Linked DNA regions of Pelodiscus sinensis. Each later gene encodes a partner of the first gene's protein in a complex. Links are inferred from orthologs where the notes say so. Each region holds a gene or a part of one and is shown on either strand. Other genes may lie near its edges. The genes, in order: TMEM237, B9D2, CC2D2A and MKS1.

Region 1 (7,256 bases):
GTCCCGCTGCAGGCGTGCTCCAAGGCTTTGCTCCCCATCTCCCTGCAGACCAGGGAGACGGGGAGCAGCTTTTCTCGCCCCAGAGGACGGGGGCGGCGGACCGTGGCGCATCTGGGCGTCCCGCCGCTCCCGTCCTCCGGGGCGAGAAAAGCCCCGTTCGTAACTGCGGATCCGACATAAGTCGGATCCGCGTAACTCGGGGACTCCCTGTATAGAGAGAATTTAACCAGTTAACCATTGGAAGGCTGGTACAGAGCAGCTGGGGTCTCTATGGGGCATGGATCTCACCTGCTAGGTGTGATAGGGGCTGCTCCAGGCAGGGACTGCCTGCAGCTGCTCCAGCCTAGCTGTCCTGCCGTGGGCAGAGTCCTGCCCTGGCCTGCCATGCCCACTGCTCCACAAGCTGCGATCTGATTCAGCCTAGCCCACCACGACCGGGGTCCTTCTGTGTTGCAGGGAGGAGGCTGCTCTGGCTGGGTCTGGCCTGCCACCAGAGTTTGGGCAGGGTCCATTTACCGGTTACCCATTAAGTATGCCAGTAAGTCTCTCTCTTACCAGGTAACTGGTTAACCTTTTACATCCCTATTCCATGTGCTAAGTGCCAGGCTGATTTTTAAAAGTCTCAGCCCTAAAGCACTTGCTAATTAAAATATAGATCAGAGACAGCATTCCCAGCAATAAAGAATGAGGTGAGGGCCAGGAAAGGAGAACAAGGGGTTGAGAATAGAATAGCTACTGAGACTGAAGTAGTCTTAAAAGGTTTGATGCATTTTCCCCTTTCGAATGACAGAAGAAACAATATGAATTAAACTGCTTCCCAGTCTACTGACAACAAGAAATGTCTTTTGTACTATATGACTGGAAAATAAGCATCCCATACTTCAAGAGCTCTGGAAAGTCAAAGGACGAAGTTATTCATAGCCAAATAAATCTTTTTAGAAAATTAGTTATAAAATTTAGCCTTGCAGCACAGAAAAACATTAGTATGTTGCAAATTTTTGTGGTGAAATACAAAACTGAAATAAAGCTAGGTTTATAATGAAAGTGCTGACAGACTTACCCATAGCTTCACAAATGCAAGTTTCATTTTATTTTAAACTTTGTTTACCCAGAATTCAAAGAAGTTTTTTTTGTTGGTTTAAGACACTTAGTAAAATCTCACTAAAATCTATGAGAACTCTGAGATTTCTGCTGAGCTAATTTTTCTTACTTTCACAACTTTTAAGTACATTCAAGTGCACAAAAATGACCATATTTCACAGAATCAAATAATCTTACCTTGGAACTGGGGGAAGGGCACGGGGTGGGCGCTAAAATTTAAAAAAGAAATCTTCCATTAGTATGTTATAAAACCACCTCCCTTCTAAGCCCCTGCTAAGCCATTTCAAAGAAGCCAGCTAGTTCCAAGCATGACTGATACATCCAACATATATTAATCTTCCGAAAGGCAATTCTGAACATTACATACATAAATGTACACAAGTGCATTGAGATTCTTGGATGGAAGGTGCTATGAGGATATGCACATTTGATGTCAATGTCTAAATTCAGATATGTGCTGTATTTTAGAGAGACACTATGGACACTTTAAAAGCATATGTAGCTATTCTCTAAATATTTTTGTTTCTCTTATAATAAATTACACAAAGAGGAAAGTTAATTCATCAGTCCAGTCAGTTATTGAAAATATTATCTTAAAAGAGACTATCAAAAATTAAGTATTTAATATCAACATACTTGCATATTATATAGTATGAAGACATGTATGTACTTATTAGTGAAATTAATTAGAGACAATTAGAGAAAAATACTCAAAGTTTAAACAATAATTGAAAAAGAAGTCTAACATGATAAAAATGTGTATTAAAACACAACTTTTTCAAATTATTTTGATCTTGAGGTCAAATCAAAATTTAAACTTCAAAATAATAAAACCTTTTATTAACAGGCTAGATGAAGCATAGCTGACACTTTTCTTGCCTAGAAAAAACGAGGTAGCTTAGATTCAGATTTTGTATTAAATAAGTGAATTGGACAATGGAAAAAATCCCCATGCTCCCAAGACTTTATTTCAATTTAAAAAATGCACAGATAATGTAATTCAAGGCTCCTTAGAACTGAACTCACCACCTGTTTCTTCCCCATACCATTCAAAGCCAGTCTTTGAGAGAGACACTGAATAGCATCCTAAATCCAACTGTGACAGCTCTGGCCTCAGCTAATTCTGCACTAAACATAAGCTGCTGATAGACTGGATTAGTTGGACATGAACATTGCTATCTCTGATACCACTCTTATTTAAGTCTATGGGAGTTTTGCCACCAATTTTCCAAACGGAACAGCAATGGGTCCCTAATGCTTCTTGCAATTAGAAATCCAAGTTCTCATTATTCACAGGGGGGAGGAAAGGGGAGGGGAATTGGGTTAGAGCAGGGGGGAGATGCCTGGCTCTGGAGGAGGGAAGGGCAGGGAGGGGGATCAGGTTGGGGGGGGATGTGCATGGCGTCCCAGCACCTCAACTCTCCACCCAACCCCAATACTGTCCAGCCTGAAGCCCCCTCCCTGGGACAAAATACCAGCATCTATCTTCCCCCTGGCACAGCTGCCTTTTTTTGGGGGGGGGGGGGGGGGCTAAACAACTCCCCCCGCCCCAGTGGCTCTTTGCACTCTGTCCACCACTATTTTGGCTCTTCTTCTCTAACCGTTGGCCAGCCTGCTAAAAAATGTACTGGCAGGGAGGGGAGGGAAATGCGTGTAGTCTATAGCATTAACCTAGAAACTTTAGCTTATTGGTTAATTGATTAATCGGCTACACTATTACATCCCACCCGCCGACTTAACCCTGTAACTTGCATCCCCAGCGGCCATGGTGTCTAGCCCCAGTGAGGTGCAGAACTTTACTGAAAGGACTTAAAAAAAAAAGACTTTTCCAGATTGGTCTGTGCTTCGAACAGCCTCGAAACTGCAGCCTCCCGCCCCGCGCTGGCTCTGCCCCGCCCCGGCGGCAGGCTCCGGATTTGTTTAACGCCGTTGCTTAGCAGGGCTGAACAGGCACCTCGGGCCGGGGCCTCAGAGAGCCCCTGGGCATCACCCGCCGCCCGAGAGCCCTGGCGCTGGGTCGGGCACGGAGCTCGGGCGGGGCACGGACACAGGGGCTGGAAGGCTCCTCGCGAAACTCAACCCCCCCCCCCCCCCCGAGAAACCTCCCCCCCACGATCCCCCCTATCCCGCACACTCCCCCCCGGGCCCCCCCCACACACACCCGGTCCCCCCTATCCCGCACACTCCCCCCCGGGCCCCCCACACACACCCCCACCCTGCACACTCCCCCCCGTTCCCCCCATCCCGCACCCCCCACGGTCCCCCCCACACCGAGGCCCCGCCCGCCCCCGGCCCCCTCACCAGGCGGGCTCCCTGCGGCGGGGTCTCCATGTCGCTCCCGTCTGGTCTCCCAGGCCGAGGGGCGGGAAGGGGCGGGCGCTGCCGGGCAGGGTTTCCGGGCGGCGCGTCACGGCCCCCGCGCTTAGGTCCAGCCCGCGCAGCCGGGGGGGGGGCACCGGCGTGAGGCTCCGACCCCTCCCCCCCCCCCCGGCTGGGCGAGTCCCGGGGCGGCTGCCGGATCATCGCTCCTGCCCCTGTGCAGATTCGTACCGGTGCGGAGCGGCCCGCGGCCCCCTCCCGGCGCCCCCTCCCTCGCTCGATGTCCAAGGTACAGTCCAAAAAAAATTGGACTTACAGAGAAACAATTTAAAGCAGGGAATTCCCCCTCCTGGCTGACTTTCAGTGGCGCAAATTTGAGGGTTTTTTTTTTTTTTGCATGTTTTAAGAGCTGGGAACGGGAGGACTTCTAGTGCATCAGTTCCTACAAGTGTCCTCAGCTTTTTAGTGTGCAATGGATGCATACCAGGTGACTTACAGTGGGGATGCCCTGAACTTTGCATGGCTGCACTGGGAGCCTTTGCTCTATTACCACTCCTGTTAGCTCCTGTTCATGTGCAATCCCTCTGGTCAGTTCAAGGTTCCTCCACAATCCTGGGCAGGAACGATCAGCAGGAAAAAGACATGTTTGTACAGGCTGGTGCAGTTAGAGAACCATACTAGTATAGATATAAAATATTGAACCAGCAACAGAAATTCAGACCAACAAAAAACAATATAGATTTGCACAGTTCTATAACAATCTAAACAAAACTCCCAATATGTAACTAGGCTCTTTATTCAATGACTGAATGACACATACTCTCAAAGGACAACATGCAGGATTGACCAGGAAGGTCTGAAAGAATTCTTTGTGGCTTGTCAAATTCAACTATTTTCCAACTCTACCATTGCATTAAAATATGCTTTTAATATCAACACAAATTTTGGCTGATCCAGTTAGTAGATTAAGAATTGTGCACAGGGAAAAGATAAACCCAGAATCTTTTCTATTAGAATTAAGACACCCACACACACACACATAGCCTTAACATTTGGTATATGTATTTCCTGTAATGGTGAATGACTGGTGCAATACAGTAGAAAACTCAGGTGCATAAGGCAAGTAGCCACTTGAAGCTCTCTACTCTCGCTTTCTATAGCTTTGGAAGTAAAACTTCTAAAATAAATGCTTCAACCCTCTAAACTTTCTGTTCATTATCAGGAATAATACACATTTACTTCTAGTGGATAACAATGGATTACAAATAGTGTCAGCCAAGATACATCAAAGAGTCAGGAGTCAGAGTTATCAGCAGCTCTCCCTCCTTTAATGATGAATCCCATTTCTAAATCCTGGGCTAGAAGCAGAATGTTGCCATCAATCAATTGTGCACATCATCTGCCACTCCTGCTCATTGCTGTGTTTAGGAACCCTTGCAACCAAAGGACCTAGAATCCAAGGATGCAGTCTTAGACACATAAGTAATTTCACTGATTTGACTTCAGTTAGACTAATCATGTGGGTAAACATTTGCAGTACCAGGCCCTTAACCTGCTCTTGCGTCTAGATTGATATGCCCATTTTTGTCAATTGCTTCTGCTAACATGTTATGAACAAGATCATCATTACATTTAGTGATGAATTTTTACAAAGCTGATATCTGTCAGCATTTGATAGCTGTGAAAATTAATTTTATTATAAAGGTGAATGAATGTGAATTCTAGAGTCATTTGTGTTGCGAATTACATTAAACCTGTAACTAATTTAAAAATAAACATCAGCAAAGAAACGTGCTTGGGACAGAAGCATGCAGCAAAATAATATATTTATAAAGCGTTCTCCTTTGGTGCACGAAGTCAACCTACTAAGTGTATAACAGACTTGTTGGTTTTGCTTTGGCAATACACAAGCATCATAAAAATCAATACGCCTTTAACAAAAAGGAGGTATGGTAAGCACTTAGACACAGATATGATTAGACCACACAACTACATGCAAGAAAATAGATCTTTTATTTTTGTCATTCTGAGTTACTACAATAATTTTGGGGGTACAAAATTAATGTTAAGCAATCATGTTACACTAAGAACTACAATGAAGACAGCATGATTATCTTGTAATAGCTTTTTTCCTAATCCCCCTGCCAAATCTCTCCTACACAAAGCTATATTCTTAGAATCCTGACAGAATTGTTCTTGAGGTAAAAGATATAATCTTTGTGAAGCTGCCTGCTTCTCAGCATTATGGTTGAGTGTCTGAACATATCCATGTAGCAGGGACCCACTGGGGCTCATCTTGTGCCTGATGGACTGCAGACAGCAGCTGCAAACAGGCCTCTTGTAAATTGTCATTTATAATCACTTGATCAAAGAACTGGCCAAACTGAGCTTCTATTTTCTTAGCAGAATCCTCCATCTCCTGCAAGTCTTCCTCCTGCAAGAAACAATATAGACCTATGAAACTATCATTTCATGTGGGATGCTTTTGAATGGGAATAGGTTTATCTAAGTTTTCACTTTCTACTCTTCCAAAGAGAACTAGGGTTAGTGGCCAGAAGACAGAACTGGGAGCCAGGAAATTTGATTTTCTCTTCTCAGCTCTGCCCCTGACTCAGTACAGGACCTTGGCCAAAACACTTAGCCTGTCTGTCCTCATTCATAAAATGAGGCTACTGCTTACCTCACAGGGAGGCTGTTAATATTTATAAAACACTTTGAAATAAAGGGTGGCATAGAAATACAAAGTAATATTATTATAAATAAAGACCTATTCTGCCATGGTTCCGCCTGGAAGTGCTGCAGGCATCCCTTCAAAAACTTAGTTACTATGTATCAACTTAGAATCATAGAACCATAGAGCTGGAAGAGACCTCAGAAGTTCACCAAGTCCAGCCCCCTGCTCTAGGCAGGACCAATCCCAACTAAATCAACCCAGCCAGGGCTTTGTCAAGCTGAGACTTTGCATGTGTGCCCTATTATAAACCCCACACTTCTTGTAATAAGTTCCCCTGCAGGAGTGGCCCGTGGATCTAGGCAAACTAACCAGTTGCCTAGGGCGCTGCGGGCCTGGGCGCCCAATGATGTCGTCACGGGACTACAGGGTGCCATCATGGCTATTGACAACCGTGCAGGCGGGGGCGCCAATTGCACCTTCCGCCTAGGGCACCAGCTGCCACAGCCAGCCTCGGGCCGCTCCTGTTCCCCTTTATGATAATTTTATATTTGAGAGGGAATTCTTGTAGGTAATTTTCAGTGAGATGCCATTCTGCAAACCCTCTGCCAGCAGAAGCTCTCACTGAAGTTACTACAAATTCCACAGAGCTTCCAAGATCTGTTATTTTGTACGTCTTTTCAGAGTAGCTACTGGTTGGAAAATGGTAGCATTGGCCAGATCCTCAACTAGTGGAAATTGGCATAGCTCTAGAGACTTCAAAGGAGCTGTGTCAATTTACACCAGCTGAGGATTGTCCCTGTCTGTAAATACTAACACCAATACAAATTATTCTGACTGATAACCAACAACAACTCTAAGTTACGCATGTCATAACAATGATAATAAATTCTAAGCCTTTGAAATGCAACCAATGGCTTGTGTAGTTTACAATAAGTTTTCCTCTACTTCCATGTGCTGGATTGTGTTGTTGCCTAGATGCCGTGCAGGTGAAGTCATTTGTCATTGTACTAGCTAATGTTACAGGATCCAGATGTGATAGACCAGTGGTCTGATCAGTTTGCCACAGCTATATTCCTATTCTGTATTTCAGTTTATCAGCAATATTTCCACAAATTCCATGGTTTTTAAGCTACTTAATTACAATGCCCTCTCACAGCCAACA
Region 2 (7,594 bases), on another chromosome or scaffold:
TCGGGGGGGCTGGGGGTAGGTTGGGGGCTGGCTGGGCTCGGGGGCGCTGGGGGTAGGTTGGGGGGCTGGCAGCGCTCGGGGGGGCTGGGGGTAGGTTGGGGGGCTGGCAGAGCTCGGGGGCGCTGGGGGTAGGTTGGGGGGCTGGCTGGGCTCGGGGGGGGCTGGGGGTAGGTTGGGGGGCTGGCAGCGGTCCGGGGGTTGGGGGCTGGGCTCTCCAGAAGCTCTCCGGGCTCGCTCCTACGCGCCTGGGCCGGGGGGGGGGGGGGGGGGCCTTGTGTCGCTGCTGTGTGCCCCCCCCCTTCCCGCTGGCACCGGCTCGCTGCGCTGGGGGGACGGGACGCGCGGGGCCGGGGGAGCGGAGCGGTGTTGGGAGGGGGAAATCCGGGGGGGCGCGGGAGCGAGCGGCGCTGGGGGGGGAGCGAAGGGGGTGCGTGGGGCGGGGGGGGGGAGCGGAGCGGCGCTGGTGGAGGGATCCGGGGGGGGCGGGGAGCGGAGCGGCGCTGGGGGGGGAGCGGAGCGGCGCTGGGGGAGGGGAGCGAGGGGGGTGCGTGGGGGGGGGAGCGGAGCGGCGCTGGGGGAGGATGCGTGGGGCCGGGGGGCGGAGCGGCGCAGGGAGGGGTGCGCGGGGCGGGGGAGCGGAGCGGCGCTGGGGGAGGGATCGGGGGGGGGCGGGGAGCGGAGCGGCGCTGGGGGGGGATCCGGGGGGGGGGCGGGGAGCGGAGCGGCGCTGGGGGAGGGATCGGGGGGGGCGGGGAGCGGAGCGGCGCTGGGGGAGGATGCGTGGGGCCGGGGGGCGGAGCGGCGCAGGGAGGGGTGCGCGGGGCGGGGGAGCGGAGCGGCGCTGGGGGAGGGATCGGGGGGGCGGGGAGCGGAGCGGCGCTGGGGGGGATCCGGGGGGGGGGGCGGGGAGCGGAGCGGCGCTGGGGGGGGATCCGGGGGGGGCGGGGAGCGGAGCGGCGCTGGGGGCTGGAGCCAAGCGCCCGGGTGAATCACTAATCGGCGGCCCGCGAGCGAGGGGGAGGCGGGGGAGGGAACAGGCAGGTGGTGGGGGGCTGCGGGCGGGAGCGGGGGGGGGGCAGGGCTGGGGGAGGCTTCCACGGGTCTGTCGTGGCAGGGAGAGGCTGCAGCACGTGCACTGTGTCCTTGTGCCCCAAGGCCCCACCAGGCGGGGGGGGGGGGGGGGGGGGGGTTGCTGAGTGGGGCAGGTGAGGGGGAGGTCACCGGGCTGTGTGGGGGGGGTCACTGCATGAGGGGCACCGTGTGGGGCGGTTGCTATATGGGTGGGGGGCACCATGGGGGGCGGGGCCTCTGCCCTGTGGGGCCTGAAGGAGCTACCAGGAGCTTCTGCTTCCTTCCCTGTTTTGGCAGCATCTGGACCCCTCCCCCCCCCCCCCCTGTGCCAGGCGCTGCCGGTTCCTGCCCTTTGCTGGGGACGTGGGGCCTAGGGCTGAGTTGCCCAGAGGGCTTGGGGGTCACAGAGGGGTCACAGCCCTGCAGGCCCCAATGGAGCTCAGTTCCCCCCCATTCTGCATCTATCTCCCCCCTCCGTTCCCACCCTCCTCCCCATCTGCTGAGGCTGCTCTCAAACGCTGCGGGGGGGGAAGCTTGGCAGCAAGGCCTAGTGCGCAGAGCCCTAGACTGGGCCTCAGGAGACCCAGCGTCCCAATCCTGGCCTGTCACTGTCGTGCTCCGTGCCTCAGTTTCCCCAGCTGCAAGGGAGGACTAGCGACCCCCGCCCCTGAGAGAGGTGCCAGCGTGTGGCTGAGGGAGGGGGCTGGGGGCTGGGGGGCCAGCCACAGGGGGATCCATTAGTCAGCGCAAGGTGCGGGGGTCGGACGTCAATGTCATGGCTGCTGCATAATCAGCCCCCATCCCACCAAGCAGGAGTGCGGCTGTTAAAGGCCCCAGCCCCCCCCTCCACCCCCCAGCTGCCGCCTCTTGCATGTGGAGGTGGGAGCAGCCACCGGGGACCCAGGAGTCCTGTAGCCAAACGCACCCGCTGCTGTTCATGGATTTCCTTCTAGCCCCACGGGGACATTGGCCCCCAGCCCTGCCGGTGCCCCTCTCTCCTGCCCCCCAGCCCCTGCCCCCCCAGCCCTGCCGGTGCCCCTCGCTCCGACCCACAGCCACTGCCCCCCCAGCCCTGCCGGTGCCCCTCGCTCCGACCCGCAGCCACTGCCCCCCCAGCCCTGCCGGTGCCCCTCTCTCCTGCCCCCCAGCCCCTGCCCCCCCAGCCCTGCCGGTGCCCCTCGCTCCGACCCGCAGCCACTGCCCCCCCAGCCCTGCCGGTGCCCCTCTCTCCTGCCCCCCAGCCCCTGCCCCCCCAGCCCTGCCGGTGCCCCTCTCTCCTGCCCCCCAGCCCCTGCCCCCCCAGCCCTGCCGGTGCCCCTCGCTCCGACCCACAGCCCCTGCCCCCCCAGCCCTGCCGGTGCCCCTCGCTCCGACCCACAGCCCCTGCCCCCCCAGCCCTGCCGGTGCCCCTCGCTCCGACCCGCAGCCACTGCCCCCCCAGCCCTGCCGGTGCCCCTCGCTCCGACCCACAGCCCCTGCCCCCCGAGCCCTGCCGGTGCCCCTCTCTCCTGCCCCCCAGCCCCTGCCCCCCCAGCCCTGCCGGTGCCCCTCGCTCCGACCCGCAGCCCCTACCCCCCCAGCTCTGTTGGATCCCATGTCTCTCTCTGGGGAACAGCCCAACTCAAGCTCCCTGCCCCAAGGGTTTTGCGATGGAGCCGACCAGACCGGGCATCTCTGGATCCAGACAGTAACAAGCCACCAGGACACAGGCCTGGTCTGGGTGTGAACCAGCCTGGTTTTGTCCCCCCCCCCCACCTTGGCCCTCACGCCGGGTGGGGCTAGCCAGGCACAAAGCTGGGCTAGTGGGGATCCAGCCAGAGTTGGACCAGGCTCAGGCTCAGCCTGCTGGTGCCCCCCCGCCTGGGCCCTGTGCTGGGAAGCAGACGGGGCGTGGTGCATTAGGCGCCTGTGCTCTCAGCTTCTCGCCAGCATTTTAGAACCCTGCTCGGAGCCCGTGGGGGGCTGGAAACAGCAGGTTTCCAAGGGACGCTAGAGCAAAGGGCCCATGATGCCAGGAGAGAGCAACATGGTGCCTGCTATCTGGCAGGAAGGGCCCGTGGTTATAGCTGAAGGGGGAGAGGATGGTGCTAGGACTCCTGGGTTCTCTCCCCAGCTCCGCCACTGATGTCCACCACGATTATGGGCATGCGCTCTCTGTGCCTCAGTTTCCCCCTCCACTGCATTGTGAAGCACTTTCAGTTCTGCCTGATCCCGCCCTCTTTGCAGCAGTAGCCAGTCGCCAGTCGGGTGGCAAGTGTGAAAACGCAGGGTGGCCACAGGCAGACAAAGCCCCAAATATCTGGACTGTCCCTATAAAATGGGGACACCTGGTCACCCTAATGGCCACCCAGCTAGGGCCCAGGGGGCTCTTTCCGTAACGGGTGCTCTCGGGCAGGGTGGGCCTGTGGGACTCACTGCCACAAGATGTCACCATGGCCGAGCACAGTGCAGGACCCACCGAGCTTGGCTCTTGGGTTAGATCAGGGCTGAGTGAACGAAGTCAGAGGTGCCCCTTGGGTGTGCTGCAGGGGTCTCTGCTTGGCGGTGGCTCGTCCCTGCTGAGTGTCCAAGGCCCAGCAGTGCGCAGGGCGTGGCCCGGGGGTGGAGGGTGAAGTGCCTGGAGCAGGGGGTCAGATTTTGTGTCTGGCTGTGGGCGGGGGCGGGGGATGGCTGGTCCATGCAGGCTGGCAGATCCAGGGCGGGGTGGCTGCCTACGTTTGCTGAGGGTCTGTCTCCCTCTGGACAACGCGCTGGGCACTGGGGGCCGGGAAGGCCAGCGGCCCAGCGGCTGGTGCCTGGCGCTCGGTCTGCTGGGCTCCAGCTCGACCATCAGATACGGGCTGGGACGGGCGGGGCTGGGGCCTGGACTCAGGCAGGCCCTGAGCTCAGCCCTGGTGCTCCCACAGTGCCCCCCCCCCGCGTTCCCATGGTGCCCCACAATCTCCTCCCCCGTTGCTATGGTGTTCCCATGATGCCCCTCCCCCGTTGCTATGGTGTTCCCATGATGCCCCTCCCCCGTTGCCATGATGCCCCTCCCTCGTTGCCATGGTGTTCCCAGATTCCCCTCCCCCGTTGCTATGGTGTTCCCATGATGCCCCTCCCCTGTTGCCATGATGCCCCTCCCCCGTTGCCATGGTGTTCCCAGATTCCCCTCCCCCGTTGCCATGGTGTTCCCAGATTCCCCTCCCCCGTTGCCATGGTGTTCCCATGATGCCCCTCCCCCGTTGCCATGGTGTTCCCAGATTCCCCTCCCCCGTTGCCATGGTGTTCCCATGATGCCCCTCCCCCGTTGCCATGGTGTTCCCATGATGCCCCTCCCCTGTTGCCACGGTGCTCTCACGAAGCGCAGCCCCCACGCTGCCAAGCTCGCTGCCCTTCCCAAAGATGGCTGCCTCCAGGGCTTTGCTCCGCCCAATAGCGGCGTCCCCGGCCCGTCATGACCCATCCAAGATGGCGCCGCCTTCACGACTCTCTTTGCCACAGTCAAGATGGCGGCGAACTCTTGTCGTCTTCCTGGGCGGGGCCTGCGCCAAGCGCCGTCACGTGCCCCTGCGCCAGCCAATCAGGATTCGGCGTTGGGGAGGAGCCCGCCGCCGTTGCCGTAGCAGCCGCGGGCTCGCGAGCGGCGCGCGGCGGAGCCGGGCCCGTGGCGCGAGCGGGTCTGTAGCTCTTCAGGGAGGGCGGGGCGGTGGGATGGTGGCCGCGCAGTGCGCATGCGTTTGGTGTCGCTCCTGCCTGCCCTTCCCGGCCCCCGCCGTTACACGGTGTGAGCTGAGCACGCGCCCGGCGCCTTGTCCCCGCCCCGAGACACACGTGGGGGGGGCCGGGCCCTGGGGCGGGGCAATGGGGGCGGGGCCCGGGGTGGAGAATGGGCGGGGCCAGTGGGGGCAGGGCCCGGGGTGAAGGAGGGGCGGGGCCAGTGGGGGCGGGGCCCGGGGTGACGGAGGGGCGTGGCCAGTGGGGGCGGGGCCCGATGTGAAGGAGGGGCGTGGCCAATGGGGGCGTGGCCCGGGGTGAAGGAGGGGCGTGGCCAGTGGGGCGGGGCCCGATGTGAAGGAGGGGCGTGGCCAGTGGGGGCGGGGCCCGGGGTGAAGGAGGGGCGGGGCCAGTGGGGGCGGGGTCCGGGGTGAAGGAGGGGCGGGGGTCAGTGGGGGCGGGGCCCGGGGTGGAGAATGGGCGGGGCCAGTGGGGGCGGGGCCCGGGGTGAAGGAGGGGCGGGGGTCAGTGGGGGCGGGGCCCGGGGTGGAGAATGGGCGGGGCCAGTGGGGGCGGGGCCCGGGGTGAAGGAGGGGCGTGGCCAGTGGGGGCGGGGCCCGGGGTGAAGGAGGGGCGGGGCCAGTGGGGGCGGGGCCCGATGTGAAGGAGGGGCGTGGCCAGTGGGGGCGGGGCCCGATGTGAAGGAGGGGCGTGGCCAGTGGGGGCGGGGCCCGAGGGTGCTGATGTCTCAGCAGTGGGGGGGGTCTCTTGCCTTTCAGGGGTGCTGCTCCCAGAGGGGGGTTGCCCTGGGGCGGGGGTCTCCCCACAAGGGTGCAGCCCCCACTGGGCGGGGAGGGGCTGGTCTGCAGCGCCCGCCCCCCCAGCACCGTGCCGGGCATGGAGCCGGGTATCCAGGCGGGTCCCGCGGCCCCCCCAGAGCAGGCGGCCGGACCTTCAGCTGCCCAGGGCTCTGCCCCGCTGCAGCAGCCCAGCGGCGGGTCCCTGGCGGGTTGGCCCCCAGCAATTTCAGCCCTTGTGGGGCAGGTGCCCCAAGGACCCGCCGCAAGGAGGGCAGCTCGGTGCCGCTTCCTTGGGAAGGAGCTAGAGCTGGGGCTGAGCGTCAGGATGCCTGGGGTCTTTCTGGCGGTGGGAGGGCAGTGGGGGCTAGTGGTTAGGGAGCGAGCAGGGGCTGGGAGCCAGGACTCCTGGGTTCTATTTCTAACCCCCCTCTTGGGTCGCCCGCGGCAGGACCATGGCCGAAGTGCACATCATCGGGCAGCTCGTGGGCGCCAGCGGCTTCCCCCGCTCCAGCCTCTTCTGCAAGTGGGGAATCCACACAGGTCAGCCAGAGCCACGGGCACCCGCGAGGCTGGGGGGTGGCATCTGCGGTGAACGGGCTGGAGAGGCCCAGAGCCAGAGCCAGCGGGTTGGAGAACTGGGGGCCCAGTCTTGTGGGTTCTATCCCAGGCCTAGCGGTTAGAGCCAGGGCTGGGAGCCCCTCGCTGACCATGCTCCCCCCCCCCAGGCGGCGCCTGGAAGCTGCTCTCCGGCCTGCGGGAGGGGCAGACACAGGTGGATCACCCCCAGCTGGACGACGTGGCCTATTGGTCCCACCCCATCGACGTGCACTTCGCCACCAAGGGCTTGCAGGGTAAGCGGGGGCCGCCGGCCCCAGGGCCAACCCCCTCTGTCCGGGGTGCCTGGATCTCCGAACCGGCCTGGGGGCAGGGCCAGTGGTACGGGCAGGTGGCTGCCAGGGGGCCCATCTCTCCCCCCACGTTCTGGGTGGCCCCCGGAGGCTGGGCAGGGCAGGGCAGGGCAGACTTCCCCCTGGACACAGGTTTCAGCCCTGGTCTTGTGTCCCTGTCCCCACGGGACAGACAGCCCAGGAGATGGGGAAAGGCGCTGGCTGGTGGTGTTCTTTGTACGCTGGGCGCCTGTGCCACTGCTCAGGAGAGAGTCCGGCGCTGCCCAGCCGGCGAGGAGAGCGCCCACCGCTAGGTTTTGTTTCTCTTGGTGGTGCACATCCACACGTGCCCCCGTGTACAGCATAAAATTATTCCGCGCGTGGGTGGCAAAGCCCTGCAGTGGCTGGAGGAGCTGAGAGGGAACCTTGCAGGCCCAGCGCAAAGCGAGTTCCTCTCAGTGAAAGGCATTTTGCCTCCTGTCCAGAACCCCCAGAGGCGGTTTGTTGCCCAGTGATCTGGGGTTTTCTGCCCTCCTTTCAGCCCCCAAGGCAGGTCCTGGAGGGGGACAGATGCAGCCCCACGTCCCCCTGTCCCGGCTGCAGGAGAAAGGCTGGTGGCTCCTATGGGACGGGGCATGGAGCATGCGGCCCATCCCCTCTCGGGGTGCTGGCCCAGGCAGTGCCAGGGTTGGGGGCTCTGACGGGTCCCCTCTCTCCACCAGGCTGGCCCAAGCTGCACGTGCAGGTCTGGCACCAGGACGCCTTCGGGCGCAGCGAGCTGTACGGCTACGGCTTCTGCCACGTGCCCTGCAGCCCGGGCTGGCACGCGCTGGCCTGCGCCACCTGGCAGCCCCTGGGCTCCTGGCAGGAGCGGCTCTCCCAGCTCTTCGTGGGCGGGGGGCCCCAGCTGCTGAACAGCGACCTGATCTACACGGGGGCCGACCGGTACCGCCTGCAGACCGTCGCCGCCGGCACCGTGCACCTACAGCTGGGCGTGCTGCTGCGCAACTTCGCCCGCTACGGGGTGGAGTGCTAGCAGGGGGCTTGCTGTGGGGCGGGGCGCTGGGGGGGGCAGGTGGGGAGGGGGTCCTGCTGGGGTGCTGGGGGGCAGGTGGGCCCCTGCTGGGGGGCAGAGGAATG
Region 3 (7,401 bases), on another chromosome or scaffold:
TCGTAGAATAAATATAATAAATACTGTAAATTCATTACTGACACGGTCAATTACAAATCTTAGAATAAATACTATAAATTCATCACTGTCATAAATAAATATCTTTTATTTGCTAAAACTGTCCACCTGGTTCTGTGTTTTCCCCCTTTGGTATGCATCATCGGACCTGTGGTTCTCGCAACACCGGACAGATGGTAAGGGTCTCCACAATAATCTGGGGGTTGCATTCCTGCAGGGCCAGGAGGGCAGCCTGCAGAAACTGCTGCGGGAACTGCAGCATGATAGATAACTCACTTTTAATTCTTCAGTTTTATATCTTTGCCCCAGCCCAGACATACAATAGAAAACTGCATCTTTGAAAACAAAAAACAGAAGGGCTTGACCTGGAGGATGGTAGTGAATATACATGCTCAAACTTTTTGCATCTCTGCCCTTTGAAAATAATAATTGCAATTCCAGTTAAAGAAAATTCTGAGGAAAAAGTAGGAGCATATCAATGTTCCCTCTAAGTTTTTCCATCCATGTACGGAATAAATTTTGTTATGTGCTCTGAGGCATTTCAGATGTGTACCACGAATAGAAACATCTAGTGATGGCTGTAGGAAGCTGTAGAACCTCTGCTAATCAGCTGTGTGGCATTTGAACCTCTCCTGGGCGGTCGCACAAGCATTCAGCTTACAGGGAACACTGAAGCATACAATCTCTTCCCCCTTCCCTCGCCCCTCCCCACCGCATCTAAGAACTAGAGAGACGACAAGAGCCACAAATACTGATTTACAGTGGGGTGTCACTAATCATCCTTTTGTCTACAATTTAGCTTTAATTCTGCAAGGATGTAAACATGGAGGTTGTGTCTAGACTGGCCAGTTTTTCCGGAAAATCAGCCACTTTTCTGGAAAAACTTGCCAGCTGTCTACACTGGTCGCTTGAATTTCCGCAAAAGCACTGACGATCTCATGTAAGATTCTTAGCGTTCTTGCAGAAATACTATGCTGCTCCCGTTCGGGCAAAAGTCCTTTTGCGCAAAAGTTTTGGGCAAAAGGGCCAGTGTAGACAGCTCAGATTTGTTTTCCGCAAAAAAGCCCTGATCGCGAAAATGGCGATCGGGGCTTTTTTGTGGAAAAGTGCGTCTAGATTGGCATGGACGCTTTTCCGCAAAAAGTGCTTTTGCGGAAAAGCGTTTGTGCCAATCTAGATGCTCTGTTCCGAAAATGCTTTTAACGGAAAACTTTTCCGTTAAAAGCATTTCCGGAAAATCATGCCAGTCTAGACGTAGCCGGATAGTGAATATGATTATTCATGTGTGTAAATGCTTGCAGGATTGGGGGCATAAGCATTTCCTATGTATTACCACATTCTTTTCCTTCTGACTGTATTTAAGATTTTTTTAAAAATCTGAGGATTTCCTGAATTGATTTAGCAGATTTTCTGACTCTACCCCTTTAAAAACAAATAGTAGTGACCTTCCTTAGCAACCTTGTTGCTAAGATGGGCATTTTTGTTATGCCAGACTGTTGATTGCAACTTCTGAAGTACCGCCTAAGAAAGCCAGGTATGAGTCAATTGCTAACCTTTTGGATCTTTTTAAAAATCCCCCCTTTCTTCATTTTTCATGAAAGAAAGAATTTTTAGAAACAGAAATCCTCAGAGTGACTTTTATAAAGGATTCTTGAGGTAATTTTATTTTAAAAGTGCAATTAGTGATACTCGACTGTATCCCTGTTTTCAGCTTTAGATTGTCCAGAGATAGACGAACTCTATTTTACTGAACAACTTCAAATCTCTTGCATTCTTTCATAGACAAAAGCATTTAATTATGCATTATAATTTTTATAGGCTATGGCACTAATTTCAAGAGCTATTTGAACACTTATTGTAAGGACCATTTTATATAAGATATTCCCCAGTCACTTTCACCGACACACACAGAATTATTTGAATTTGATTCTGTAAAGTGCTTATATAATAACATATGTGCTACATATTAAAATGAAATAACTTTTCAGATTAATGTTAGTAGATTTAAAATATTATTTGACTCCAAGATTTACCTGGTATTGCTCATGTCCTTAACTCAAATAAGTTTTGTTTTTCTTCATTTAAATCATTGTGCTGGGGTGGAGCTGGGGATGAAGGGTTCAGTATGCAGGGTGCCCTGGGGAAAGAGGGCAACCTCTGCCCTCTCTCACCACAGCAGCTTGGAGCCAACTGAGAAGCACCTGTCCAACATTCCCCAGTCACAGATAGATACAGGAGCATACAATTCATATAATCTCTCTGAAATAGATAGTAGATAGTTGTCCCTTTCTCTACTCCTGCCCCTGCTGGCCCATTGGGGTTATAGTTGTACAGTCCCCATCTTCGACCCCATCTCCTGTCCCCTTATGTTCATTCTGCAGTATAACTCCCTCCTACCAGACTTCTCCATTTCCATTTTGTGAGAAACAATTGAATTCCAGGCACATCCCATTGTCTTGGCACAACCAAACCCTGACCTTGCTTTAAGTTATGATAAGAAGCTGCATATCAAATTTGGTGGCCCTATCTGTTAACATTAGGAGGAGCTCTTCAACAGACAGACACACATTTCTAAAATATATAGTAAGAAGATGTGAGTGGCTCTGAGGCTATGTCTAGACTGCAAGCCTCTTTCGAAAGAGGCTCTTTCGAAAGATACTTTCGAAAGAGCCTCTTTCGAAAGAGAGCGTCTAGACTGCACGTTGAACTTTCGAAAAAGCGGCTTGCTTTTTGGAAAGAAAGCATCCAGTGAGTCTGGATGCTCTCTTTCGAAGAAGCCCTATTTACATTGAAGAACGCCTTCTTTCGAAAGAGGAACTTTCGAAAGAAGGCGTTCTTCCTCGTGAAATGAGGTTTACTGCCATTGAAAGAAAAGCCGCGTTCTTTCGATTTAATTTCGAAAGAACGCGGCTTGAGTCTGGACGCAGGTGAGGTTTTTTCGAAAAAAGGCTACTTTTTTCGAAAAAACCCCTGAGTCTGGACACAGCCTGAGGTACTAGGGAGGGAATTTATCCCTTATCTGGAGTTGAGGTTTATGCAGAGATCCAACAGGGTACATACAGCTTGCAACCGTGTAACCTGAGCTCTCATTTGGATTTAAGAGTGCCTTAAACAGATTTATTTGAAATTGATTCCTTACTGACATAAACTAAATAGATATCAGAGCTCTTAAATCAAGGTAGCAGTTACAAATCATGGAGGGTGTACCTATATAGGCTGAATCATTTTCTGAACAGTTTGAATTAAATCACTAACTTCATCATGCAGACAAAGCTTTAGGAACATCTGTAAATTTCAGATTTGGCAAGAATGAACCAGCTAAAAGTGAGAAGGAACACCATTCTTGCAATAAACTGTATATGGACCAATCATGGACAGTTTGTAGATGCTTTACAATAATGGGTAACTCATACACAATTTATATTTGTCGACTTGATTCACTTTTATAGGGAATTATAAAAAAAACCTTGTAGATATATTCTGAAGATCATATGTCCTGGCTACAAATAGCAGGAAATTATTCCGTTTTCAAAACCATAAAACTGTTTTTTTCAAGTGTTAAATATTTTTAACGTTACTTCTAAGTTAATAGGGTCCACTGGATGCAGAGGTATTCCTTTGTGAAGTCTGTTGCATGATGAGTGCTTGTGCATTAATGTGTACATCTGATTTTAATAATTTTTGTATTACAGGCAGGTATCAATTGCTGCAAACATGAATTTCAATGAAGAATCCCAGATTATGGCTATGGAGGTTAGTCTGATTAGTTACAGTAAATGCATAGATGGATTATGGGGCATTTCTTTCTTTCTAAAAAGTATGATAGGGTTTTGTTCATATCACACTTTTGCTAGTTACTAAATAGTAATATACAGATTTCGTAATATAGGAGTTAATTGTCCTTTGGGTAAATGCAAGTGACTCATTATAATTGATAGGGATTATATGTGGCTATTAAGAAAAAATGTATTTCTGTGCAAATCAATCAAACATAATACAATGCACTATATTTAACAAACACTAGTTTTTAATGTTATTCCTAAATCATTGAGCATAAGATGCTTTTTATATTACATTAGTAATTATTGTAGTGCTTGCTGTGTAGGGGGCATTTTCCAAATACTCAAAAAAGGACAGTCCTGCCTCTGAGTTCAAAATCTAAGGACAGACAAGTACCATAGACAGGTTAAATGGAAGGCAACTGGAATGGCCATATGCACGTTATATACAAGTCCACTTTAATTATAGGCAATATGAAATAAATGCACAATCTTTGTGATCATGTGAGTTAGTTACGACACCAAGTTTTCAAAAACTGTGAAACTGTTCTTGAAGTGACGAAGGGTTGTTTTACTCGGAGCTAACGGTTCTATGTCGCAGCCCCCGAGGAGCTGTGAAGTTTGCAGGTTTCCATGCCATGGAGTCGGCACGAGGGTAGCCGGCCCCGCAGATAAGCTGCAGGCGCGAGCCCAGTGCCGAGCGCAAGTTAGCCGAGGCCCGGCCGATAAGCAGCCGCGTTAACTAGACGACGCCCGGCAGAGCTGGGGCCCAGCTCCCACCGCGCTTAGCGCCCCTGCGTGGGACGATGCCCAACACGAGGGCGGGGCTCCACTGGCGGCACCCGCCGAGCCCCACGGCGGGCTAACCCCTGTGCCTTTCCCTCCCGCGGCGGGCGGGAGGCGCCGGCCCACGGGGCGCAGCTGAGGCAGACGCTGACGGCTCAGAGGCGGGGAAGAAAGCAGCCCGTGAGTTCGGGGGCGGGGCGACCCTTTCACGTTCGCGCAGTCGGTTGCCGCGGCAGCTTCCTCTCCGGAGGGCCAGCAGACCTGCCGCGCATGCGCGCGAGCGCGGGCGGCGGGTTGCTAGGCACCGCGCAGAGAGCTTTGCCTGGCGGGAGCGGGACGGTGGACTCGCAGAGCGGTGACCAGGGCGGGCGCGGAGCACATCCGGGTGACGGGGAGGGGCCCTTCGCGCTGTGCAGCGCCCCCTGACGTGCGGTTCCTTTCCCCTCCTCCCCCCCCAGCTGCTGGAGGCCGTTGGTCCCGCTGTTTCGCTGGCGGAGGAGGAGGAGGAGGACCCGGCCGGGATGGCGGCGCCTGCTGCCAGCGCCCGGACACCGCGCAGTAAGTGTCTGAGTGATCGGGGGGGATTCCCGGGCCGCAGCCTCCACCCCTTGCCTACGAGCTTCCGACGCCGCTGTGGCCGCGCCTCCAGCTCCCACTTTTCTTGGGGTGGGGGAGGAGCCTGCTGGGGCAGCTCCGGGACTGGGGCGGCGCCGGTGTAGCGAGCAAAACACTAACTTCTCAGAATTTGCTACTTTGGGTGCACTGAGCATGCGCACCCGAACTGAGCAAACTCAGTGTCCCTCGCTGTAGCCGCTGCCCACTCTCTGCCCTCACTGCCTCCTCAGATTTGCTTCCTCCTCTTCGGAGGTGTTTAAAATGATGAAGGGGGGCAAATTGCAGGGGGGGTAGTGTCTGGTTCTGAGCATGGGGCAGAAATTTACCGGCTGGAGGCATCAATCTTCTTTTTTTAGCTGCAGAAGAGGGGCAAAATTTGAAAAATCAGGGGGGTGGGGGGTGGTAGCCTTGGTTAACCCCGGGCTGGGGGACACTGCCAGACCCTGTGCACGGAGAAAACCCCCGTTTAGGGAGGGGGAGAGGTGGGAACAGTCATCCAGCAGGACAAGCCACCTGATGTCCTTGAAAATATCAGTTTTCCAGGGGCAAAGTCTTTTTTTTTCTTTATTTTCCCTGGACGCTGCCTGTCAGCCCCCGAGCAGGGGGCGGGCTCCTGGGCTTGAGTTCTTAAAGGCACAGGCCTCCCAATTCCTAGACGGTCAATGCTTAGACACCACCGTTCCTCTGTATATGTACAAGTGTGAAATATTCTACATACAGTTCCTGTCTCAAACTCTGCCTCTCACTTTTTTAGTATTTAATAGTTTTCTCTTTGTTTCTCTATCAGAAGTCACTGCATCTCCTTTCTCTTGTGTACTATGCTGATATGCTAAAGTCCCTCCCATCCACACCCTCACCTGTACTGCAATCCCCTGACCCATGGCAGATCCCACACCTGTCCCCCAAACTCCCCCTAGCAAGCACCCCTCATGCACCCAAACTCCGTCCCAGATCCTCATCACCAAACATGGGCAAGTATCGGAGGGGTAGCTGTGTTAGTCTGAATATGAAGAATCGTTGAGGAGTCCTGTGGCACTATCTTCAGTTCGTCTATAAGGTGCCACAGGACTCCTCGCCAACATGGCCAAGTGAAATTTTAGTGATTCCTCCCGTAGTCAATGGGGACATGGGTCAGAGAACTCAGAGCAGGGGGCTCCAACATTTTGAAAGTGCAATCCAATATGTACCTTATATATAAATACCCTTTTCCCGCTTCCTTCTTACCCCTTCTCCAAGTCCCAGATCCTGCTCCCTCTATCCTCCCTCTCTTGCCCATCCTCAGTCTCTTTCATCAGCCTGGGACAGACGGTTGGGTGCACATGCTCTGGTCTTTGCTTAAGGGATCTGGAGTGTGAGAAGGGCTCTGATCAGCTCTTGGAGCATGCATTTACTGTGGAGTTCTAGGTGCAGGCTTTGGCAGGGTATTTGGATGCATGGGTGCTCAGAGCAATGATAAGGGCTTGGATACAGGACTGGGTTCATGCCAGGGGTAGGAGTTAGTGATGTATGCTCCATTTTGTCACTGCTGGTGACTCCTAGATGGTGGTGGAGTGTGCCTAAGGCAAGCTCACCCATGGCCTTGCCCTGTAACACTACCTAAAGCAGCAAGAAAACTCCATCCCTGGTCCTGTGTTGAAAGGATACAGAATGGTATATGTTGAACCCTGACATCAGCACCCCTCTTTTTCCTCCCCTGCCGTGCACACAAAGCAGCAGACTCCCAGGCGTGGTATCAGCTGCAAGGCAAAGTGCAGGACATCCACAGCAGTGGGGGGAGGGGCATTTAAGTGCTGGCACTTGATATCCTCTTGCCCACACCAGTCATGATCACCTGACAGAGGATACAAGATCTACCAGTATATCCCTATCTACTGGTTGGTGACCACTGCCTCATAGCGACTGTCTGTCCAGGGTCAATGTGTCATATCATAAGAACATAAGAACGGACGTACTGGGTCAGACCAAAGGTCCATCTAGCCCAGTATCCTGTCTACCGACTGGCCAGCACCTGGTGCCCCAGAGAGGGTGGACCGAAGACAATGATCAAGCGATTTGTCTCCTGCCATCCCTCTCCAGCCTCTGACAACCAGAGGCCAAGGACACCATTTTATCCCCTGGCTAATAGCCTTTTATGGACCTAACCTCCATGAATTTATCCAGCTTCTCTTTAAACTCTATTATAGTCCTAGCCTTCACAGCCTCC
Region 4 (7,556 bases), on another chromosome or scaffold:
TCACCCTGAAAACGGTTTTCCTGCTCGCAATAACCTCTGCACGCAGGGTTAGCGAGCTTTCCGCCATGATGGCCATTCCACCATATACGATTTTCCGTAGCGATGGGGTAGTCCTACGATTACATCCGAGGTTCCTACCCAAAATTGTCTCCAATTTCCACGTTAACGAACCAGTCATCTTGCCAACCTTTTTCCCGAAGCCCCATGCCTCGCCACGGGACGTGGCCCTACATTCCTTGGACATCCGCAGGGCCTTAGCGTTCTACATAGATCGTACTAAACCGTTCAGGCTTACGGACCATTTATTCGTCTCCCTGACACACAGGTCAAAGGGTCAACGCCTATCTTCCCAGAGAATCTCCAATCTCATAACGGCATGCATAGTGCAATCGTACGCAGCAAGAGGGTTGCCCCTTCCGTCCCAACCACACGCTCATTCCACTAGAGCCATGGCCATATCTACAGCGTTCCACAGAGGAGTATCTCTGAAGGACATTTGCAGAACGGCGACCTGGTCCTCTCATGGGACCTTCGCTAAGCATTATTCTATCTCTCTCTCTCATTCGGATGGGGCAGTGGTGACTGCGGTGCTCTCCACGGCGGATAAATAGGGTCTCCTTGCCCTCCTTCCGCTTTCGGCGACTACCGCTATGCAGTCACCCATAGTGGAGCACCCGCGGGGACATCCCCGAAGAAGAAAGCGAAGTTACTCACCTCCGGTGCAGTAACTGTCGTTCTTCGAGGTGGTGTCCCCGCGGGTGCTCCACTACCCATCCTCCTCCCCGCTTTGGATTCCCCTCTATCTCTGCTCTTGTCTCTTACAGACTCCGAGGCGGTTCCGAGGAACTGGCGGGCGGCCGGACCGCGCGACGGAAAGAGCGCGAAAGCCGCGAGCCTGCGGCACATGCGTGGTCCGGCCGGATACTGCTACTGACAAGTCTCCGTCTGCGGCGCCGGGGCAAGCCCAGCACCCATAGTGGAGCACCCGCGGGGACACCACCTCGAAGAACGACAGTTACTGCACTGGAGGTGAGTAACTTCGCTTATCCTCTGGGCCAGTGTTGTGGCGTGGGTATCCAGATGATTGACCTGTTGGCGATCAGGGACAACAGGAAATGTCACAAGTACCCCAAAACCTTATCTTTCCAGGGTTTGGTATAAAGCTTCCCCCCAAAATCTTAAACTTAGATTTTGGGGATAAAAATCCGCTGCCACCACCCAAGTAATGATAAACTCAGGGAAGAGATCACTTGAGAAATCTCAGCCCTAAAGTAAAACAAGGACATGCAAAAATTAACCAATACCAGGTTAATAAAAGTTCTTTCTCTCTTTTTTGTTTTAATCACCACAGTACTCCTGTTACAAGCATAATGACTAAATGGAAAAGTCACCAATTTATATACTGATGGGGGGACCCCTCATGGGCCAAGAGCTTAGTTGCAAAGGAGAGGAAAACTCATTTTTAAACGCACAGACATCAGATTCCCATTCCCAAATCATAAAACAATAAAACCTAATGGATTTATCTAAACTTTACCCTACTTACAGATGGTGAAGAGTCTTTTCTTGGAGAGACAGACATGTCTTTCTCCCTCAACATCTGGAGAGAAAAACTGCGCAGAAACAAAGGAGGGAAAAACCCAAAAATTCCTTTGTCCCATTTTGAAATCCCTATCTGCATTTGTATTGGCTGACTATACCTGGCTTAGGTACAGTTAACCTCTTACTCCCCAGGCTGCTGGCTAACCCTCATGGTCATGACATACCTCTTCTGTTCTTTCATTGCAGCTGCCAAGCAGTTTTCTTCTTCGCCCTTCTGCCGGTCACCCACAAGCAGAAGGTGGGTAGGGCCAAGTGCAGGCTCATAGTTCTGGTTCTTCAACTGTTTATTCAGCCTCATGTCCTGTTCCCTCCACCCTGACCAACTTGTTCAGAACCACACACACTTGCTGCATCCCAGGTGCAGCTCCCTGCTGCTACTGGTGTGGCTGCTGCACAGCTGAATGAGGCAGCACACCAGCGAGCCCTCTGCCAGGATCCAATTGGCATCTAAATGGATGTATTGACTTGTGCAATTCATCCTGCTGGCTTCTGTCCAGGACATTCTGGCATACCTGCATAGGCTGGTTTGGGGTAACCACTACAGGGCCTGCACTTTGGGGGGGGGCCCTCAAGGTGGCCTGGGAGATTAGTAAGGGGGGGTAGAGCCTGAGGCAAATTGGGCAGGGGGTTGTCCTGGGCCCGGCACTCCCCTAGGGATGGATCTTCAGCTCTTGGGACTTGTGCTTAGTTCATTGAAATTTCTTCTGGCAGCAATATCAGCATTCCATCTCTCCAATTGGGGAAGATGAGTTTTCTCCAATGCCATAATAGCAAGGTCCCTGAAAGGGTTTCTTCCTCTACATCCTCCAGTCCAAGAGCTAATTTCTCTGTGGGACCTTAACATCAAACCTAGCGCCTTTGATGGAACCTGTTTGATTCCCTGGCATCTTCTCTGTTTCCATTTTTTTATCAGAACCCTGTGTTCCTGGTAGTGAAAACATCCACAAGGAATGGGCGAGAGCTGCCGGCTCAGATAGCAGCACCTCCTTATAGCTAATTCTCCAATGTGATGCTGACCACACCCAAAAATTGTGTTTAACCATAGCTAGCTCAAGTGAAACAAAAAAACACATTTTACTTATCTGCATACTTACCTAAGCTGCCTTCATCGCTGGAGGAGCAGTGTCTCCATATGCTACAGGTCTGGCCTTCTATTGGGCAGGACTCAATTTTGCCTCACCTGATGTGACCTGGCAAGGGAAGAGGGTTCCCTGCTAAGGGGCAATCACAGTTCACCTGGTGGTTTGCCTCACCTGATTGTATGAAGGGGCAAGTAGTCTCTTCATTCTCTCCAAATGGAGAAATCTGTATCAAACCCACCTGTGAAATAGCTTTGGCTACATCCCATCTCTGAGTGTGAGCTCAATCTACAAAAGCAGAAGGCATGTCCATAGCATTCTTCAGGACTGCCATGTGATCATCCATATGCACATTTACTCCATCTTCCAGGGCACGGTTGTAAGCTTTGGTAGGTTGGTCCTGTAGTCCTTTTGTAGGTGGACTCTAAGCTCCACCTCCTCATGGGAGATACTGTGAGGGAGTCACTTAAGTAGAATTATGGCACAAAACTGAGAACTGGTTACAGTAATTCCTCATTTAACATGATAGATGCATTTCTGAAAATGTTTGTGCTAAGCGAAAACGAGCTATGTGGGGTCAATTTTCCCATTAAAAATAATGGAAAAGGTGGGGGTTGCATTTCAGATGGCAATGGCAAAGTCAGTTTTTTGTTGGTGTTAGATCTCTAGCAACACAAGTCACTGCAGTTTGTTAAAACACAAAGATAATCACGAGTGAAGGGAGGAGCACTGTGACCATGTGTACTCATCTGCTCATGCATATTACCACTGTTTTCACAAACTTATACCGCCACATAAAGTAGTCTGCCACTTGATTATTTTTGTGTTATTTTGGGAATGGTTGTGTTATTCGAAAAACATTCCCTAAAAAAAAAATCATGCTATTGCAAAAACGTATTAAGCGGCACATGTTAAATGAGTAATTACTGTAACTGTGGTTCTGGGAGACATCATGCAGATGTGTGTTCCAGCGACCCACCCTCCATTTCCTTTGCATCAGTTTGTTCTTCAGTGCAAAAGAACTGAGAGGGTTGGGACAGTACCACTTCATATAGCCATGGTCCAGGCTATAGCCACAAGATGCAAATTCTCCTGCTCTTGAGCAGATGACATCTGAGCGCTTGTGTCCGTTTGGTTCTCTAGCCAGGACTGTCTCATACAAAGCTTTGCTAGTGAACAACCACCACATAGTCACGCCCAGCTGTATTGGTGAATATTATGCCCAGCCACGCAAAAATCGATGCTGGGTACATGTTCTAGGTCCAGCCTTGCACCCCGGTCCATCCCGTCACTGAACAGAGCAAACGCACAAACGCATTTCTTTGGAAAGGAAATAACCAAGCCAAAGCATTTGTGAGCGCATGGGGATGTCCCACGGCGCTGGTTCGGACACGAGTCTCAGGAGAGAACCTGCAGCTCTCGGGAGTCCGCAGAGCTGGAAAGCCAGGCCGGCCCCCTCCCCGCCCCGCCCCCCAAGGGGGGTCCTTGTCTTTTGACCTAGTGTGCGTCTACTGTGGGGCAAGCGACGTGCCTGTTCCCTGGCTGCCGGGCAAGCCCCCGTCGCAGGCTCTGCGCAGAGCCCGCACCCCTCCCCCCCCGACCCAGCACACCCCCCCGGCCCCCGCAGAGCCCGCACCCCCCCCCGGCCAGGGGAGACGGGCCGCGCATGCTCAGCAGAGGCCCCGCCCATCTCCATGGGGCGCGGACGCGCTTTCGGGCCGGGCCATGGCGGAGCCGTGCTGGAGCGCGGAGGCGGGGGGGGCGGTGTATCGCTCCCGGGACCCCGTGCGGGGCCTGCGCGTCCGGTCAGGGCCCGCGGGGTGTTCCGGGGGGGCGGGGTGTCGTGGGGGGGGCAGGGAGTGTGGGGTGTCGGGGGGTGTGGTGTCGGGGGGGGCGGGGAGTGTGGGGTGTCGGGGGAGGGGTGTGGGGTGTCGTGGGGGGGCAGGGAGTGTGGGGTGTCGGGGGGTGGGGTGTCGGGGGGGGGGCGGGGAGTGTGGGGTGTCGGGGAGTGTGGGGTGTCCCATGGAGGGTACCTGGGCCCCTTTGGGGCGTTGTTGTGGCACAGCAGGCTGGGGTGCCTGGGGAGGGCCCAGGCAAGCGGCCCCTGGCGCCTTCCTCCCTCCCCTGCCCTGGGCAGCCTGCTGACTCCAGCCTGGTGCTCCTCCCTGCCCAGGGTGCATGTCCAGCATGTCACTTCCACCAGCCTGCTCCTGCAGCAGCTCCAGCAGCCCTCTAGCCAGCAGCAGGGGAAGGATCTCATCAGCCTGGCCACCTTCAGCTCCCATCCAGCAACAAGTAGGTGGTTCATGGCTGGTGTCGGATGGGGACCCATCTCTCCTGTGCAAGGCCTCACAATGGCTTCTGCCACTTGGCCGAAGCCCCACTGCACAGGTCGCAGGCAGGGAGAGATGCCGGACTTGCAGCAATCTCAGTGGAGGGGAGATGGCATTTTTACACCTTTCAACCCCACAGAGTACAGGACAGCCTCAGCTTCTCTGGGCTACCTCATATGAAGACCTGTCCTACCTGTGGATGGAACAGGTGCCCCGTTTCTCCCCCTGGATATTCTGATAGTGGTAGGAAGTGCCTCCTTTTCCCAGCCAGGGAGCAACTGGTGAGACAGGGATTTAATACCTGTGGTAGGATAAGGTGTCAGAGTGGGTGCATCTTTGCTAGGGAAAAGGTGTGCCTTGACCTCGTTAGCAACTACAAGGTCAAATCCTAGTGAGGACAAGCCACTTGGTAGTTTTTACATGTTAGCACCTCAGAGTAAAGTCTTGCAAAATACTTGGCTCAATTTGCTAATACATGTGCTGACCGCAGACTTTGGGATTTGATCTTTTTAGTTATCAACTGTTAGTTAATTTGCAATGAGAACACATCTTTTTCTTAGTGAAGAAGCACCTTCCAATTCTTGTTTCTTTTTCTTGGTGCATCATGTTGAAGAAGGAAATTCCACCCTCTTTGACCTTAGGCATTTGTATTGCCAATTGAGCATTATACCTAGTTGCAAAACAGGCTTCCAGGGCTATTCCACTCACAGGGCTCATTGTCTTTTCTCTTGCTGAAAAGTGAGACTGGCTGTGAGCAGAAGAACATAAAAATAGTAACATTGCATCATATCAATGATCCATTTATCCCCATATCTTGTCTTCTAACAGCAGCTGGTACCAGGGGCCCCAGAAGGAATGAACTGAAGAGGCAATCATTAAGTGATTCTTCCCGTCACTTATTCCCAGCTTTTGGGAATCAGAAGCTAGTGATATCCAGAGCATAAGGGTGCATTCCTGATCATCTTGGTTTATAGCCATAGATAACGTTAGCCCCCATGAACTAACAGTGGATATTTCCAGAAAGCCTTTGACAATTTCCCTCACCAAAGGCTCTTAAGTAAAGTAAGTTGTCATGGGATAAGAGGAAAGGTCCTTTCATGGATTGATAACTGGATAAAAGACAGGAACCAAAGGGTAGGAATAAATGATAAGTTTTCAGAGTGGAGAGAGGTAACTAGTGGGGTCCCTCAAGGGTCTATCCTGGAACCAATCCTGTTCAACGTGGAGGGAAGAAGCACATGTGTGAAGAAGTGACCAGCCCCCTATTGTCTTTCAGGTGGCTATCGTGCCGACGATGAGGAAGAGGAGGCCGTGATTGGCTGGCAAGATAAACTCTTCAGCCAGGTGAATAAGCAGAAGGCTGGAAGTGACCCCTCAAGTGGCAGATAGTACTCAGAATAGTATAGTGGATAGTGTGTGTCCAGTGCAAGGGGACTTGGCTTCATCTCCAGGTCCCAGAGCAGAATGGAGGGCCTGTTCCTCTGGCTCACAGTTAGAGATATACGTGCTGCTGCAGTTCAATATGGTTTATATTCTCTAGCCTCTCATGGCCACTGCAGCCTCTAAACTCCACTAGGAGAAAATGGAACATGTTTCTGATTTAGAATTATCCCAACTGCTTGCCTGTGCCATCTTGTCCATGTCTGTAGGGGATGAGTGGAGGGTACTCATTAAACAAGAATGATTAAAGGTCTAGGGTACATGAGCTGTAAAGGAAGACTGAAAGAATTGGGCTTGTTTAGTTTGGAAAAGAAAAGATTAAGAGGGGACATGATAGTGGTTTTCAGGTATCTAAAAGGGTGTCAGAAGGAGGAGGGAGAAAACTTGTTCTTCCTGGTCTCTGAGGATAGAACAAGAGGCAGTGAGCTTAAACTGCAGCAAGGGAGGTTTAGGTTGGACATTAGGAAAAAGTTACTGTCAGGGCGGTTAAACACGAATAAATTACATAGGGAGGTTGTGGAATCTCCATCTCTGGGGATATTTAAGAGTAGGTTAGAAAATGTCTACTAGGGATGGTCTAGTCAGTACTGGGTCCTGCCATGAGGGCAGGGGACTGAACTTGATGACCTCTCAAGGTCCCTTCCAGTCCTAGTATTCTATGATTCTATGAAAAGCAGTGGAAGTGACTCTCAATCACAAGAGAGAAACAGCATTCTGGTTACTAACGGTCCAGGATCCAGCTCCAGGAACTGCAGTCTGGTCCCACAGTTACAACCACATCAATTTTAAATCCTAATCCCACAAACAGTTATGCATGTGCGTAGCTTTACACACTTAAAATAGTGGTTATTTCCACTCCAGCTTCCCCTCATCTGAAGAAGTGGGTTTTGCCCACGAAAGCTCATAAAAATATATATATTTTATTAATCTCTAAGGTGCCACAGGGCTACTTGTTTTTAAAGTGAAATACTAACACTGCTACCCCCTGAAACTTTCTATACATAAATGTACATATCTAGGGACAGAGACTCTAGGCCGTAGGGACTTTATCCTGGGAAGCAAGGACTCTGAAAAAGATATAGGGGTGGGATGGATTATCAGC

The links.
Region 2: TMEM237 (region 1) and B9D2 share a complex: the UniProt entries of both Homo sapiens proteins name them as parts of the tectonic-like complex. The link is inferred for Pelodiscus sinensis from reciprocal best matches to the Homo sapiens genes TMEM237 and B9D2.
Region 3: TMEM237 (region 1) and CC2D2A share a complex: the UniProt entries of both Homo sapiens proteins name them as parts of the tectonic-like complex. The link is inferred for Pelodiscus sinensis from reciprocal best matches to the Homo sapiens genes TMEM237 and CC2D2A.
Region 4: TMEM237 (region 1) and MKS1 share a complex: the UniProt entries of both Homo sapiens proteins name them as parts of the tectonic-like complex. The link is inferred for Pelodiscus sinensis from reciprocal best matches to the Homo sapiens genes TMEM237 and MKS1.

What each region holds. Positions count from the first base shown.
Region 1 is NC_134717.1:56,805,851-56,813,106, reverse strand, and holds the start of TMEM237 (transmembrane protein 237), read right to left. Parts: upstream 3,433-7,256; coding exon 3,403-3,432; intron 1,311-3,402; coding exon 1,279-1,310; intron 1-1,278. Other genes in the region: MPP4 (MAGUK p55 subfamily member 4), read right to left, coding at 5,663-5,854. UniProt on the Homo sapiens protein: Component of the transition zone in primary cilia. Required for ciliogenesis.
Region 2 is NW_027465992.1:84,117-91,710, reverse strand, and holds the start of B9D2 (B9 domain-containing protein 2), read left to right. Parts: upstream 1-4,587; 5' UTR 4,588-4,730; intron 4,731-4,786; exon of another isoform or gene 4,787-4,837; intron 4,838-6,015; 5' UTR 6,016-6,019; coding exon 6,020-6,107; intron 6,108-6,292; coding exon 6,293-6,418; intron 6,419-7,176; coding exon 7,177-7,490; 3' UTR 7,491-7,594. UniProt on the Homo sapiens protein: Component of the tectonic-like complex, a complex localized at the transition zone of primary cilia and acting as a barrier that prevents diffusion of transmembrane proteins between the cilia and plasma membranes.
Region 3 is NC_134715.1:107,493,611-107,501,011, reverse strand, and holds the start of CC2D2A (coiled-coil and C2 domain-containing protein 2A), read left to right. Parts: upstream 1-4,365; 5' UTR 4,366-4,763; intron 4,764-4,813; exon of another isoform or gene 4,814-5,041; 5' UTR 5,042-5,104; coding exon 5,105-5,141; intron 5,142-7,401. UniProt on the Homo sapiens protein: Component of the tectonic-like complex, a complex localized at the transition zone of primary cilia and acting as a barrier that prevents diffusion of transmembrane proteins between the cilia and plasma membranes.
Region 4 is NC_134731.1:16,307,851-16,315,406, reverse strand, and holds the start of MKS1 (tectonic-like complex member MKS1), read left to right. Parts: upstream 1-4,328; 5' UTR 4,329-4,347; coding exon of another isoform or gene 4,348-4,406; coding exon 4,407-4,486; intron 4,487-4,854; coding exon 4,855-4,976; intron 4,977-6,290; coding exon 6,291-6,358; intron 6,359-7,556. UniProt on the Homo sapiens protein: Component of the tectonic-like complex, a complex localized at the transition zone of primary cilia and acting as a barrier that prevents diffusion of transmembrane proteins between the cilia and plasma membranes.